Drosophila melanogaster: one gene and its partners. The protein of the gene in region 1 interacts with the protein of each later gene in a pairwise test. Each region holds a gene or a part of one and is shown in the gene's direction. Other genes may lie near its edges.

The links.
Region 2: the proteins of Acbp5 (region 1) and stum interact in a two-hybrid assay, tested with the Drosophila melanogaster proteins (one large-scale study listed by BioGRID).
Region 3: the proteins of Acbp5 (region 1) and stops interact in a two-hybrid assay, tested with the Drosophila melanogaster proteins (one large-scale study listed by BioGRID).

What each region holds. Positions count from the first base shown.
Region 1 is NT_037436.4:8,786,924-8,791,242, reverse strand, and holds Acbp5 (Acyl-CoA binding protein 5), read left to right. Parts: upstream 1-2,697; 5' UTR 2,698-2,728; coding exon 2,729-2,737; intron 2,738-2,802; coding exon 2,803-3,042; 3' UTR 3,043-3,099; downstream 3,100-4,319. Other genes in the region: Fhos (formin homology 2 domain containing), read right to left, coding at 1-658, 735-1,073, 1,726-1,872, 1,938-2,304, 3,523-3,724, 3,899-4,319.
Region 2 is NT_033778.4:21,672,251-21,678,662, forward strand, and holds the start of stum (stumble), read left to right. Parts: upstream 1-2,650; 5' UTR 2,651-3,052; intron 3,053-3,823; exon of another isoform or gene 3,824-4,079; 5' UTR 4,080-4,264; coding exon 4,265-5,076; intron 5,077-5,138; coding exon 5,139-5,606; intron 5,607-5,674; coding exon 5,675-6,412. Other genes in the region: CG15676 (uncharacterized protein), read left to right, coding at 1-27.
Region 3 is NT_033777.3:31,164,843-31,170,963, reverse strand, and holds the start of stops (slow termination of phototransduction), read left to right. Parts: upstream 1-2,359; 5' UTR 2,360-2,490; coding exon 2,491-2,937; intron 2,938-3,538; coding exon 3,539-3,638; intron 3,639-4,504; coding exon 4,505-4,614; intron 4,615-4,684; coding exon 4,685-4,788; intron 4,789-6,121.

The sequences.
Region 1 (4,319 bases):
GTTTGCCGCGGGTCTTGTTCCGTTCCCGGTGGTTGGCCTTCTTCTCCAGCTGCTGCTGAACCCGCTCTCTAGTGGTGCGGTATTCCAGGGCGAACTCGGAGAGTGTCCGGCAGAATTCGTTGGGACGCGATTCCGCGACACTGTGCTGCGGCATTCCCAGCCACAAAAGGAACTTCCGGTAGCGATTCATCACCCGTCGATGGACAATTTGCAGGATGATGATGCGCTCCGCACAATCGGCCAAGAAATCCACCAGCTTCTGCTTTAACGGTGGCGGGCAGTCGTGTTTGGCAATAAGTTTCAGACGATCCCAGCATGCCTTGCACTCCGCCTCCAACTGATTGAGATTGTGTGCCAAGTCCGTGAAATCCGCCTTGGAGGCTCGCGTAATGGGTCCGATCTCGGAGTACAGATCACTAGTATCACTGCTCGACTCCATGACCATGTGGCAGAGGTGGTGCAGCAGCGAGTGCTTGTGCACCGTGTCCTTCACTTCCGGAACCTTTGCCAGATACTCGATCTGGAATCCCTTGACGGGAGCTCCATTCAAAAAGATGCCCACAGACAGCAGAGTAGAGAGGATGCTGCGGAAGGTGCGATTCTGACGCAGGATCTCAATGCCTTGCTTGAGGTCCATCAGCGGTTCCGCAATCTCTTTCTGTAGTTTAAAAAAGATGATGGCCATGTAAGAATTAACTTTTGTATGTTTTCTAATCTTTAGCGTTATAACTTACCTCACTGTTGTCAAAGTCCAGACGGAAAGCCCACAATTTCAGGCGAGCTTCCAGCTCCGAAATGGAGGCCAGGGTCAAAAGGAACTGCTCGGCGCTGCCCAGGGGCAACTCTGGGTTGGATAACTGGGCCTCCTGGATCTTGCCACGCTCCTCATCAGTGGGCAGCATATTGAGTAGCTTGTCGATTCCCTCCCGTGTGACCACAGTGGCATCCATTTTGAGGATGGCCGTCTTAATGGCCCTCGGAGGAGGCAGCTTAGTGATCGCAATATTGATGGCATTGGAGCGCTTGTGATCAAGCACGATGATCTCTTTGCTCTTGTTCAGCTCTTGTTGTTTCTGCAAGGTCAGCGGGAAAGGGTTAATACCTTTCGATCAGGCTGCGATCGGTCAGAGATAAGAACACAGTGGTGCAAAGAGAAAACGAGAGTGTAGGGTGCAAAGTGCGGAATTGGATTGGAGTTTCTGTGCTGTTCTGTACTGTTAGCAACTAAATCATTTCTTCAAGTGTACGTGGGTGTGATAGAGTGTATATGAAAATAGTTATATTAACCAACACCAAAACACAAAACATAATGGGCAATAGATCGTGAGTTATGGTGCGACATATGTTTGTAGAGAGATAGAGAGACAAAAAGACAAACAAATTTAATAACGTTTTGATTGGCACTCACCTCCTAGAGACATTGGAAAACATTTGAATATTTGAGAATTATTTGCATTTTGGTTTGAGTTTAGCACAACATTTATGTAGATTTATCCGCAAACAGACCGTTCGACATTTAGGTATTAAGAATTATATAATATATCCATAAATAGAAGGGGAAAGAAGAATACAAAAATCATTCGCATTTTGTTAACGCATCACACACTTAAAGAAGAGCCTATGACTAATTTAATCACAATTTATCGTAGATCCATTGAATTTCGAGAACCTTTGACCAATTGGGTGTTATATGAGGAAAAGTGTTATTGGTTAGAGCATACGAACCTTGGTCATCAAGTCTTTGGCCCGGGACTCAAAGAGATGTTCGAGCTTCTGTGTGTCCACGTTGGCATCGGGCAGCTCATCCCATATGGTCTTGCCCACCACCTGCGGTATCATGTCCTCGCGCACTTCCTTCCAGAAGAGCTTGACCTTAGGGTGTATCAAATGCAATATGTAAATTCTCATTCTTTATATTAAACAATGATGAGACTAACCGTTTTCTTGTTCTTTTTGATGGTGTTATTACCATTGACCAGTTCACCATTTATAGAACCATTTAACGAATTGACACTATTGGTTAGACTACCGCCATATCCGTACATGGGTGGTGGTGCCAAGCTTGGAGGCATCATTGGCGGTGGGGCAATGGCTCCACCCAGCGGGGGAGGCGGCGGGGGTATACCGGCACCCAAACTTCGAGGGGCCAGCACATCCTTCTCGTCATCATCCCTCAGATCCGTAAAGTCCAGATCGCAAAGATTTAGGGGCCTTGTCATATTCCTAACCAGTTCCTCCCAGTGAAGTTCATTTTCCGACTTCTTGGGCTCAGACTTCTTTACATCCTGATCGACACTAGAAGATCTGTAAAGGAAAAAGTTTATGCCACTACAATTATAGCTTTTATCGTGTAAATGGTGGCCATAAATGATTAGTCTGACCTTATCTTTGATAGACTAACGCCTAGCACCACTTTGTATGTACATAAATATGATAAGTAATCAAAAATCAGTCAACGAGGGTGGCGGCAAACTACTTTCTAGGGATTCGAGAAAGCCGATGACGATGTCAGGCTGGGCAAAAACCTGAACTCTTATGAAACTGGTACATAAATCTAATCTAATAAATTTGCACAATGGACTCACACATTATCGGCTTGCAGTGGCAACCATTATCGATTTCTATATACAGATAAGCGTTGTTAACTAGAACTTCCCGATTTTCGGGAGGTATAAAGACGGCGCACTGAGAGGGACAAGTCACATTTGTCAAGCATAACTCAAGCAATATGGCCGATGTAAGTTGATGATTGTAAAGATCGGAACACAGAACTCTCTAACTCCCATTTGCCATTATTTACAGTTCAACGCTATCCTCGAGAAGACCAAGGCCTTCAGCAAGAAGCCCCCAACGGAGGTGTACCTGGAGTTCTATGGCCTGTACAAGCAGTTCCAGGAGGGCGACATTAACATCGAGAAGCCCGCTGATGCCGAGGGTGCCGCTAAGTACGATGCCTGGCTGAGCCGCAAGGGACTGTCCGTCGATGACGCCAAGGCCGCCTACGTCGCCCTGTACGAGAAGTACAACCCCATCTACGGATAAGCTACAGTTTATGGCCCACTCTGATACCAACCAATAAATCTTGACCATCTGTGAACTAAGTGATTGTCTATTTGGAAGGAGCTTCTTTCAATTCTGTTTTATTGGTTCACAGATTATGAACCCAAGGTCGTAAAACACCTTATATCAGATAACCGGAAAGCATGACACCGCTTATCATTAATAGCTTAGACGGATTTCTTATCTTCAACTGGTGGCGCCATATATTCTCGTAAATCTTTGCTTGTAAAACATCTATCATTTTCTGTAATCTCAAGGGGTTAGCAGAGTGAACATTTATTGATAGTTAGTGGCATTCAATTGATTTTGATATGGAAGAGCTATAAAAAAGTTTCCTAACCTAACTTAAAAGCTTGATTCCCAGAAAGATGGTAAACGACTAACGCCACTGGGTAACTTCGAGAGTATAGCCTAAGCCTATAGGTTTAGTGGGTTTTATCAAAAGACTTCTACTTTTCTTACCTGGATATCTCTCCCTTGCTCTTGCTCTTGGCCAGACCCTCTTTGGCTTTCGAAATCAGACCGGACATATCGCCGACGAGGGCGCGATTCGCCGAATCCTGAGTGGGACTCATTGGCAGGTTGCTCAACTTCTGGGTGAGATCCTTGACCGTGTGGTCCCGCTTCAGCTGGAGGAGCAGCTGCTGATCCTCGCTTTCCATATCTGTGATACATAACAAACGTAACGTTAAGCCCATTCATCAAATCTTAACTCTCAAAAGTATGCAGCGGCAGATGCGCAATGCAATGTGAATGTATTGGCGGCGCTCGCGAGTATGCAACACACAGGTGAGAGACAGGTGAATGGAATGGAGTTAAGGTTTAGGTTGAGACCCACCTGAAGGATCCACAGGATGCGGCAGCAGCTCTGGGTTAGTACTGGTTAGGGTTCGAGCTTGCGGGCTGTTGTAGATGGGGGCGTGCCACCAACCAGGTGGTGGTGGTGGCGGCGGTGGCGGTGGAGGAGGCGGTGGTGGTGCCGCAGCGGGTTTCTTTACCGGACTCAGTGGCTCCGGTTCCGGCGGGACATCACACTTAACCGGGGTGGAACTGAGGGGAGCGGGCGTGAAATCAAACCCAGAGGCATTTAGCGTTTTTTTGGGACTCAAAAGGACTTCCGGCGTTGGCTGAATGGGCTGATGGATCTGATGTTTCGGCGACTGACTGTAATAGTTGTTCAGCCGGTTCGCTTCGTTCTCGTACTTCTTATAGGCACTATCGGTTTGCTGGATATTCTTCATAATACCATTGATCACAGT
Region 2 (6,412 bases), on another chromosome or scaffold:
TTGTATAAACATGAAGTGGAGAACTAGAAGCATCCCACCATCCTTAAAATTGCTAGTACCTTGTAGTTGCTTATAAAGACATTCGTTCTAAATAAGTCTTTATTGTCTAAATGCCTTAATTTCCAACGAAGTACAGCTCTCCCTTGGAGTTCCCCACTAATTCATTCATTACAATTACATTATTAGCAGCCCGGTAAAGAGGTCAGAGTATCGGGACCGTAGGATCCCAGACTGTGCCCTACAAAATGTGACCTTTATTACCGAGCTCGGCTATTTACAAGCCTATACACATCATAATAATTATGACTTAATTTCGCCAGGGAGCACCGCTTAGTCATTGTGTAATCCTCGGTCACAGCCAATTACAATTGAATGCCTTTCAATCCCATGCCCATGCCTTCGTCCAGCTGTTACTCCAGCCCTCCGCATATTCGCACACGCAATCTGCCAGCCACAATTGATATTAATTTGTGCCCGATGTGGGTCAACCCATGATGTAGACTCCATTCCCTTCCAAGGATACCAAATTATATGGCAAAAGGACAAAACTGACCAGCAGATGAGCCACATATCGCGTGGGAAAATCTTATTGCAAGCGAATAAAATTACCCAACCGCTCCCAGTGAGCAAAGGTGCAGTTTTGAATTATATGAATTTTCATCCATGGGCTTGGCACACTAGATTAGGGTCAGCACTATTCCCGAATTTTGATTAGCCAAGCCCAAAGTCGAGATTAGATTGCTGCGCTCTCTCAACCAGATCAAGTGAATCCGCCAAAGAGTTTGGGCTCGGCTAATCGAAGCCCCTTCAATTGGGGGAATCAGATCTGCATCTGCACACCTGCACTCGTGGACTCCACGCTGTCCACCTGTCTTGAGTCATGGCGCAAAAAAAAAAGAGGTTAGAAACAATAAAAACAACTTGCGGCGCGCCGCCAGTGCCAAGTTTTCATGTCCAAGGCGTATTTATGTCAACCGGAAGTAGGTTTACTGACCCACGTATACCCGTGTGGCTGGCCAAACGTGGACTTCGGCTTTCTTCGGTGGTTTCTTCACCTAAACCCGACTGGTCAGTTGCCGTGGAGCTCCACGGCGCAGGACGATGTATAAGAAGGTATTTGCCCACGGCGGATTAGTTTTTCTACGAACGGCGAGTGCAGTGCATCGGATCGATGCAAATGCGCGTTGAATTTTTTGGGTATTCAGTTTTTTATTTGAAAATCTCTCACCTTTTTTTTTATGACAATAACTCTACAAGTAACGGTGCATTAAAAATTAAAACCAAACTGCCTAAAATCGGATAGAAATCGTCGGATATATCGCAAACATTAAAAACTTCCAACTCGGTTGTGTAGTGAAAAAGCCCAAAACAATTAACTCGTAGATGTCTCTAGGAATTCCCCGACTTGTGACTCCGTGTGACTCCACTGGGGGTTCGAGTTGGACCCCACAAGGGGCGGGTTTTTGGGGGCTAACACGACATTAGCCAAGGATTTCTCCGGCACTGCCACTTAAAAGTCCCCCCGTTCCGAGGGATTCGTGGCTTTGGTTTGGGTGGTCTGTGTTTGCACACATACCTGTCTTTAGGCGTTATTGCTGCCACTGCCGTTGTTGTCTTGATGTTGCAACAGTGCCCGGCTGGCCAAGGAGTTCGTAGCTGCGGGCCAAGTGTTGTTGACTCCTAGCCGCTGCACAAGGCAACGCGGAATTTGTTGCGGTTTTGACCCTATTCCAAAGCCAAGGAAAGTGCAGTGTACTCGCCGAGGGTCTTATACTCACTCAGTCGAGTGCAGGAAAAGCGTCCTTCTGCCGAAGCCTTTTGCAATATTTATGGGCAGAGACACCTTTCACACAGTGATTAAGTGATCCTAATTTTTGGGCGACGCATAACTATTTTTTGACATTCTAGCGGATAAAATATTCAAACACTTAAAATAAGGATATATTTACTTTCAATACTAAATCAATAGGCGTATTTTAAACTGATTTTTTTGAACACAGTAAAGGAAAGTTTTTATTAATACCTATCATTACGTTCAATCAGAGCTCTTATGTGCAATCTCCAACTCCATAAAACTGCATTAAAGTGAAATGAGCGAAAGTGTTCATTGAAATACATGCGTGCATTCAATAGATACAAGTGGCATTAAAGTTATGAGGCATCCCGAAAAGTATGAAAAATTAGCTGACTGAGCTTCTCGGTGGCAGGCAGTGCGGCGTAGAAGTACAAAAGTGTTGGAACATCGCGTGCCACAGACATACCAACAGGTGTCACAGCCAGCCGGGGGAAACTGGGGGAAGCAATCAAAAGTTGTCTAAGAGGCAGAAAGAGCTGAGAAAGAAGCACACGCCGCACAGATGAACACAACGACATGCAAACGGCTAATGCAGCCGCCTCGCTAGGCGGCGAAATGCGGAAAACTCGCGGAAAAGTCGCGGCGAATTGGCGCCCCCGGTCGCCTTTTCTTTTCGGCTTTTCAGTTCGCCAGTCTCGATATCTCAGCGGGTCTGCGTGTGCAAACTGTTGGGGCACCGAGTGTGTGTGTGTGTGGGGGGGGGGGGCATTGTGTGCTGTTTTGGATTTGAAGTGTAGGCAATATTTCTCTTGAAGGCCTCCATTTTGCTCACTTACCGCTGGTCGGCCATCAGTTTAAGTTAGGCAGCGGCCACGTTTCGTCGCGTTTCCATTATTTGTTGCGGCTTTTCAGCAAATACATTCTATTTCCGAATTAGACTAAACTTAAAACCCAAATGTAAATTATATAATGCGCTCCAGGACCAAACTAACACAGTCAGTGTGGACGTGGCAGGTATTAAAATTCGTTATTCAAGTGTGACCGAGCGTTAATGAGATGCAAGAAAACTGCGTGTAATGCGGCAAGCGATTAAAAAACCAATTCGCAAATAGGAAGCTTAAGCCGCCTGGGAGCCGGCCAACTCCCCCAAAACGCGTCATGGCCAAAACAAAACGAAAGGAACGAAAAGGAGCCGGCCAAGTCACTTCCTTTTGGCCCAAAGTGTGTCACCGAAATTCGAGCGGCGGGCCATAAAATGTAGGTTAAATATTAGGCAGAGGAAAATCAATGCGAACAAAGGCCATTCATTCACACCTTTCCTCCACCTTCCCCCCCAAAACCTTCATGGGCTACGTCATTTCGCTAAAATATCTGCGTACCCAGCCGCACAGCTCCAATTAAACCATCGCCTTCTTCTGGTGATAGGATAGTCTCAGCCCGCTGGCTTCCACATCTGCCGGGTCGTTCGACTTCAAGTGCAGTCACTAATGCGGCAATTTGCAACATGCAACGCCGGTGCAGCCAGCCAAGCCGAAGCCATCCGCCCAAAAGCAAATCCCCATCCCCATTCCCCCCATTCAAGCCTTTGAGGCCTCCTCATCAAGTTATGCTCTCGTTAGCGCCAAGACAAGCGTTTGGGAGTTGGGAGTCCGACTCGGATTCGCATATAGCAGCAGGTGCATGGCATACCATAACGATTCCGATTTCAAATCGGTTTGGTTTCGGGGCGGCTTTATCAGCGCCTCGCACGCAGCTATTTATAGTTGAATGTGGAGTGAAATGGCATTAGAAAATAAAGCCGTGCAGTAATAATTACTCTACTATTTTTGCCACAACCAGTGATGGAAGCGGACGTATCCGGGCAGTTGTACCTAATTACTTTTTTTTAATTGCTGATGAATTTAAATTACTTTACTCAAGCTATTAAAAATTTAGGATATTTGAAAAAAGTTACTTGGTATGAAGACAGAAATTACTTTTATTATTATTTTTAAAAATTCGCCCAGGTAAACATACTCAATACCCTTTTCCATCACTGCGAATTGGCAATGAAACCGGCAGCCCTTCAGTTTCGCTCTCCGGTTTTTGGGACTGCCTACTCCGTGCTCCGTGCTCCTCGTTCCGTTATCCGTTCTCCGCCGGTGAAGGCGTCGCGTGTACGTCTCTCTGACATTGCAAGAGGGCCGGAAGGTCTCGCTGGTCGTCTGTCTGTGGAATCAAAAGATGTGCGCACATGGGTGTTGTGAGTGATTTTTAAATACATTCTGTTGCTTCGAATAAACAGCTCCTGGCGTCATTGGTTTTGTGGCACTTAAACTAAAGCGAAGGACGAACGCGGAGTGTCCTGCGTGGAAATCGGCTTCCAACTACTGCAACCACGACTGAATTTCGCAAAAACGCTGCAACAATGGATAGGAAATCATAGTGAATGCATGAGGGCCGAAGATCGGTTAGCACCCATGTCAAGCCATGCAGCAGACCCTCTCGTACTCATCATCATCGCCATCCCCATCCCCGATGCCCATGCCATCAGCCTCAGCCGCACAGACGCCGCCACCGAACCCGAATCTGACACCGAATCTGAACATACGTCCAAGTACGAACCCAATACCACGACCCAGATCCACTGGAGGCGAGTCCGCGTTCCAGCCGGCCATCATCCCGGTTGATTATAGCTATCGCACCCATACCACCCGCTCCATTCTCTCCGCCCAATCGATGGCACCCTCCACGTTCGCCTCCAATCAGAGCTTTGTGCGCCAGCCCTCGGAGTCGGATGCCCAGCCGTATAGTAGCCTCTTTGGGGATCCGGTTCCACCGCCTCTGCAGCCGGATGATTACTTCGGAACAGCAGCATTTGAGACGTTGCGAAATGGGTCTGTGGAACTGCCCAGCTCCGAGGAGGATGCGCTGGTGGCCGCCATGGCGCTGAACGCACTTATTCCTGCGGCCAGGGAACGCATCTTTCCGAGTGTCCCGTACTCGAGGACTCCCCGAGGATCCCTACTGCCTTATCTCCAGCCACCCGACATCCAGATTCTGCCCAACTCGAGCGGTGGCTCCAGTTCAGAGCAACTGGGCTCACCTAACTATCGGCTCCTGGCCCCCGATGACATTCTGAACAAGCCGGACGTTTATGATTTGGAGAACGAGGTCGAGGAGTACACCGTAGTCGGTCAGAGAATGTCTTTCGATGATGAGGAAGATGAGCCGACGAGGACTCCTAGCCAAGCGCCCGCCAAGTTGAGTGTGTCCAGCATCACGACGGAGGACCACAGGGGGTTGGTATTTGAATACACCAATATATTATCCAAACTAATCCTTCGTGATTACCTCCTCTTAGATTACTCAGTGACTCCTATTCGGGAAGGGATTGGTTCCGTCCGGCGCCACAGCACTTTCCAGAGTTCACACGCATCCCACGATTGCGGCCCAGCTCCAAAATGATTATGTCGATGAAGCAGGATGAAGGACCTCTCTCCCCACTGGCCACCATGATCCAGGACATGAACAGCTCGAGCAGCGGCGGAGAGGAGCGAGTGGCACCCAACCAAAGCAGGCCCGTTAGCAGGGACGTTGTACTCTCACCGAAGCAATATCTGGAGGAACAGTTGGGTCTGGAGAGAGGTAGCCAGAGGCAGTCGCTGGAGGACTATAGAATGCCACCTCCACCGGCAGACCCGCCCCCTTTCCGTAGAACTGACTTGACGGAGCAGGATGACAGCCGCAGTGTGGAGCCTGAACATAGCTTAAAGCGGGAAATGTCCCCAGTTATCATCAGGGATTCAATACCTATGGGCGGAGATTATAGGTAAGGTTATCCTGTGGAAAATATCCATAAAGATAATACATATATTCAAGTTTTTCTGTCCCCTCTAGAGTGGAGCAACCTCGTCCACACAAAAAGACTGCTTTCACGATACTTTCCACGGGACAGGCAGCTTCTTCTGCTCCTCGGCCTCCACAACAAGCTCCCACCAGAGGAAGACACGCCTCCATTCAGTCGACATCGACGACTACCTCATCGCCGGCCGGCAGGCCTCAGATCAGTCCTCGACGGAGATCGATCTTTGGCTCAGAGCCGCGACTGCCTGAGCTGCCCTCCGCGCTGGGTTACACCAGTCACCTCGTCCACCAGACCACGGATGACTCGCCACGCCCATCGGTTCAGTTCAATATGAGTGGACGCCACAGTCGCAGCAAGCTGGCCATTCCGCAGAAGGGCATTCTCCAGCAGCGGGACTCGCTGACCTCCTCCATCGACACCTTCACGCCAAGAGCCCAAATAAGAAGGGGTTCCATTGGCAGGGATCCCATCCGCAGCTTGCCCTATGGCCAAAAGATCAAGAGCATGGAAACACTGCCCCTGATAAACGATCAGCATCGCAGCTCCATTCCCCGCCTGCACTACGGATCCACCATGGATCTGAGTAGGCCGGAACCTGCTGTTTTTCCGCCCGGAGCACTGCCGCGACCACTGAAGCCAAATCTGAATCCCACGCGAAGGCAACGCGGTCTCCTGAAGATCATTAACAAGGAGGAGTCGCTCACCCACAACCCGCCGCGTTCCAACTGGTGCAGTTTGGATGACCTGAGCCGACCCTCCTTCGATGGCAC
Region 3 (6,121 bases), on another chromosome or scaffold:
GCGGAAGGCACTGTGTAAACTCAACTGTTATTCTTCTTTGGGGTTTAGTATAGTGTAAACTGAAATTTCGTAAATAAAACTTTCTTAAGTAGAGTAGCGCAGTAAATAATTCTATCCAAAATTACAAAGTAATCACCGAGTTTTAATATCACTTACGAAGAGAAATAAAGACAGAACGTTATGTATAAGCTATATCTTTAAGATGCAAGCAAATTCAGTAAGCAAAGAATAGTAGTGCTTAACATTTGAGATGTGACTCCTTTGGCAGTCACATAAATTCGAGTTAGGGAGTTCCGTTGTGGACTTGGTCTGATGCCATAATGCACTCTGAATGATGTATATCTCGGGGGTCGTTTTTTTTTCTCAATCTGCACACCAATAAATTGCCATCGTAATTTCCACAGTGGGAGACCCCTTATTCAGCTATTAGATTGCATCGCCAGAAATTATGTAAATTCGGTTATTGTGCTCCATGTGCCCGCACAATCGAGTGCAGCATAAAACGGAAGCGAAATAAAAATTTCGCCAGGCTTGTGTGCATTTCCGCTTCCGCTTGGCTCGACCACAGTGCAACCACACATTGTTGCATTTATTCGGACTCATATATTTACGGCCAATACGCCGCTGATTGGATACGAATTTAATTCAATTAATTCGCTACCTTTGCGGCATCGGATAGCCTGCATATGGCCACAATTGCATTGCCCTTTTAATTAGCGCTCAGGTGAGCCTGTTCAGGTGAAAATATTGCCATGTTGTCCTGGGTAACCAGCACAAATATGCACCGTTTTAATGGACCTGAGTTAATTACACTGTGCCGAATGTCCTTCGACACTTATTTGCATATGCGATTAAGGCGAAGGACCCGAGGAATCCCTACCAGACATGATTATCCCAGTCATCATCTCTGGATCCCTTGGTGTGCGTTCTTAATTAATGTTTATGGCAGTGCTTAAATATTTACCCAGCGCTTAATTGTCAGCCCAAATATTAAACGTGCAAATACGGCGAATAATGGAATGAGTGGGCCTGAATAATGTATGGGAAAATTGATATGTCCCGCATAAACAAATATTAATTGGCAAAGGGTGATAGAAAAACATGTAAACAATGTGCACAATTGCTATTTAAAATATGAATTTATTTTGTAGCTGAGAAATTTACATGACAATTGGAGTCGTGTTTTAAAATACATTTGACGTGGCTAAAGCTCGAGAAAACACTCCTATTGTTTACAGATTTAAATCCGTGTATATGAATATTTGTTGCAATATTTATTTCAAAATGATCCCCTTGAAAATGTAATGGATTCATTGAAGGGGGATTAGTAAATCTCTAAAAAGATAGCTTAAAGCGGTTCGCTTTATGATAATATCGGTTTCACTCTGGAATGAAGTATCGAGTGACTTTGTATTAGTTTTCAGTTTTCCGTTGTAAAATCAAATTCATTAATGATTTAAACCGAAAAAAGCACTGAAACATTAAACAGCACACCATCAGTATTTATTTCGAAATAAATATATTTTTGTTGAATCAAGCATAATCCTTATAATGACAAACCAATTATTTTTCAGTTTAATATTGCAAAATCACAAAAACCTGCGTTTTTATGCGCCATTTGATTTTATGCTTATCGCCAAACATTACCCATTTAGCACAAAAATAATGTGAGAGCATACATATGTACTATATATTTTAAATTGAAAATTCCAATTTAGAATCTAATTTAGCTTTATGCTCATGAAACGCGTATTTAATACCTCCGCTACTCTCTGTACAAAGAGAGAGTGGAGAGAAAGCGGGAGAGTGAGCGCTTAGGTAAACAGCTGAGCGTTCTTAGAAATTGGACTTCGTTTGTTTAGTTTTCCAGCGGCAGCTGATGAGTGGGGTGGAAAATTGTGTGAGTGCGCTGCGTGCAGTGAATAAATGGTTCGGAAAAATGCCAGCAAATTTCAAAGTGCAATAGACTGTTTAGCAAAAACCAATCGAATTGAATCGAATCGAATCAGTTTCAATGGAGTCCTCGAGTTCCATTCGGTTTTTGAAGAGCTCATAGAAATATACTTGTCGGCTGGTAATCAAACACCTGTTTGCCAATTGCTTTGCTGGGAGCTTCACGGAAATAAAGAGGCCTAAAAAGTAATTGAACTGTATATCAGCTTTTGAATAAGCTTTACATACTATGTAATTATTTTCTTATATGATTGCAATGCTTAAAAATATTAAAATGAATATTCCGCATGCTCATTATGAGTTGTTTATGTTTATCAAAAGTTCTCCCAGCACATCATTGCCAGCTGCAAAAAATCGATAGCGCAAGAGAGTCACCCCCGCAAAAGAAATTCTCTCTTTTTTGTGTATTGCGACTCTTTGGCTTCAGCGGTGCGGGAGTTTTTTTGAAGCGGAATTTCAATTCTTTGGAGGGAATCATCAATTCAGCTCAATCGAAAATATTTGCCTACTTAAAGTGAATTAAATTTTGTTTGCAATATGCTTTCGCAGTTGCTACAGGCTTTCCAGCGGCTGGTAAGTCAATTAAAAAGCCAATTTGTGTGGGTTCGCTGCTGGTTGCCATTTCCACGGCATTTCTACGGTTTCCGCCGGGAAACTGAGTCACGGGCACGGCTGCGTCTGCGGGTGCGGGAACAACTGCGTCGGAATCCTGCCAATAGGGCCAGTCACCAGCGGAACCGGCGAACCCAGCGCCGCCATCTGGTCATGGACTACATCTTCGAGTGCTTCTTCGACGACACCTTCGAGCAGATCTCCCGCAACGGACTGCAGGACCGCCAGTCGCGGCGAGATGTCCTCGACCACCTGAGCTCCATCATCAAGGGCTGCAGCGGCGGCCAGAACTCGCAGACGGATGAGGTGGCCGCCATCGCGGTGACGGCGGCCATGAGGTACCACCGAATGGCCAAGGAGCAGAACGGCCAGGTGAGCTTTATGTACAAATCGAGTGTTGCCAATGTGGCATTTCTGTGTGCCAAACTTCAATAGTTAATATGAATAAATATTTACTTAAAAGAGTCCATACAAACTAGCACTGGGCTTTAGCAAAGCTCAACTTAATTAATAATGATTTGACAATTAGTTTCCGGTACTTAAAAAAACGAAATAAATAATTAGAACAAAAGCCAAGTCAGTCTATTTCGTTGTCGTATTAAATAAATGTTAATGTTTAAACCAAGCCTTATGAATGGAAACCAATGATTAATTAGCCAAATAACATTGCTTTGCTTTTGAGTCGAATAAAAGTGGAATTTAATAAAGCTTTCTAGAAAACGGTTAGAAAAGTACTAAAACTATGCATAAATATGTATATCCTGCTGCTGCGATCCAATTGACCTTTTAGAGTGTAAATAAATATGGAAAGTTGTTTCGGGCTTAATTTCCTTTGGCAGAGTCTGCTAAACTTAATTTTCTTCCATTTTAAATGCCATCTCTTCATATGGCAATTATTTATAATTTAAAAAGTAGCACTTCAGTTGGGATTCAGCCCCTTCACCACACCCTCCATTCCATGCGTATTCCCCAGGTCTGCCTCATGGGCAAGTATCACAACATCCTGTACATCGGACTGCGCACCTGCTGGGATTGGGGAGTCCGGGACTCGGAGGTGGTCGTCAAGCTGCTGGGTAAGTGGAGTCGGGCCAACTAAATAATTTAATTTAAATGCATATGTATGCGTATGTGTGCGTAAGCGTATGCGAGTGAGTGTGCGTGTGTGTGTGGCAAGACTTTCCTGTTTGCTTTTTGGGCGTGGCTGTGTGCTTTGCATACTTTAATAAATATCATCCCATCGCATCGGATTATTACGCCCATAAGCAGGCAGTTTTCACTTTAATCACGTGTTTCTGCTAATTGCGTTAAGAAAGTGTTGCTGATGTCGTTCTGTTGCTCTGTTGTTGCTGCATCGTAAAACTTGTAAAGTGCCTCAAAGTGTTGCAAGTTATTTGGGGCGTACGCATGTTGGCTGCCTCTAATTAAAAGGCTGCGTAAACTTTTGCGAGCAGGAAAAGTGCCTGGAATTAATGGCATGCCTCTGTCAGGGAATCTGGACTCGTGTGCAATAAAACTTGCTCCTTGTTTGTCCTGTCCTCACTCACCAAGTTGCTTTGTTGCTGACTCCAGCCTTTTGGACCCGCTGGCCTTGGTTTGGCAAACATTGTGGCCGTTTCCGTTTTCCGCTGACTTCATTTCTGGGCTGTGCCAAAAAGCCAACGAAACCGAAAGCCAAAAAACCAAAGCAGCAACAAGTGCAGCCACGTAATTAGCTTTTTTATGGCTGCGCTGCTGCGATTTGATGACATTATTTAACCGCTTTCTCCACTACCGACAATTTGCCTGCATCGCGGGAAAATCGGTCACAATGTGTATACAAATTTGGTTTATGGCATTACCCACTTCGAAATGTTATTAAACGTGGCTTGTTTTATATAAATTAACTTTTAACTATTTTCCTGTTCCCATGACTAATTTATCCCCTTTTTGTGCAATTCAGTGGCCATTTACGAGTGCGAGAAGACATATGAGCGCATTTTCCTGGGCGCCCTGTTTGGACCACATGCTCCGCACTTCATCGCCGGCTGGCGCAGTGACTTTCAGGATCAGGTGAGACTGGCAGAAAGACCCTATTCCTGGCCCCGTGGAATAGACACCCATGTATGTCCTTTGTTCGCAGCACGAGAATGTCCGGGCTATGGTTTACTTTCTGAAGCACGCCACACGCGAACAGCTCACATTGCCCGTCTGGATTCCGCGCTTCGAGCAGGAGCGACAGCTCAGGTGAGTCCTCAGCCCGGTCCCCATCCTGTCCTGACATTCTCCCCTTTTCCCCACTCCCCCCTCTTCACTCTTTCATGTGTCGCGCTCTTTTGCTGCCTCGAGCGATTTTCACACTAGCCGGGTTAATTGGATAGTTGCCTGGGTGCCATGCCGAGGTCTTCATTCCCCCAAAGAGTTTTTCATACTAGCTGTATGCTTGGACATTTATGGAGAGCTCTTACTTTCATAACAGTCACAGTAAGCCTTTCTATACACTTAGCTTATGGCTATCAGAGCAAATTATAAGTTGCTTACAAAGCAAATCGCCAAGAATTAAAGATTAAACTTTAAAATTCGGATTATGTGCCGAGATACCGATCAATCTTAATGGCTTGCCAGTTTTCCACACAATAATAATGTTTTCGGTAACAATAAGATACTATAAATACCCGCTGGGAATGCAAGGAAATGGTGGACGAACGTGAAGGGTAACCAGAGAAATGAAAGGATTTTAATTAAATTAATTCATCAGCCATTGTTGTGGCACCTACACAGAGTGTGTGTGTGTGTGTGACTGCCATAATTGAGTGAAAGATGGCGACAATTTACAACCACAGACACGACTGCGAATACACTTTTACAGAGAATGGCTCTCAATCACTGGCGGTGGCTTTCTCTCACTTCTGCTGGTGTCATGTATAATTAAGATTTTCATTTGCAGCTTGCTTTTGGGGGGGGGTTTCCCATTTTCCGCCTTCTTTTTCCGACCCTCCCACATGCACATGAGGTCCGTGTGTGAGTGTCGCTGATGCGATAAGCTGAAAACCAACAGGCAGCGATGTAAACCTTTTGTTATTTCGGCTTTGTTCGCCAGCACTTCGGAGGATTAAAGTCAAAAATGCGTGTAATAAGCGCACAAAGGCATGCTCAACCCCACCACGCCCACTAATCCACACAGATACAGCCCGCCCCCTTGGATATACCATACCCATACCATTGCCGAGTTGACTGTTTGCGCTTCTTAAACAAACAGAAGGCAAAAAACATACTGACTGGCAAGCATTAAGACGACATTTATGATGCCCTCTCGCAAAACAGCAGCCAAAGTCATGAATAAGCGTCAATAGCTGCAAATGTATGTGGGTGTACGATTGGGAGTGTGTGTGTGGAGTGTGCGACCCAAGAGCTGAGAAAAACAAGCAATGTGACAATAAACGTTTCGGCCAAATGCCGTTGAAGTTGCATAAATCAGTGCTGGAGCAGCATATTGCCAAAGTTTTCGCAGAACAGTGAACACTCGTGAAAAGGAATTGTGTTGAAGCTAAAAGCTCACAATGAGATTTACACAATTTAC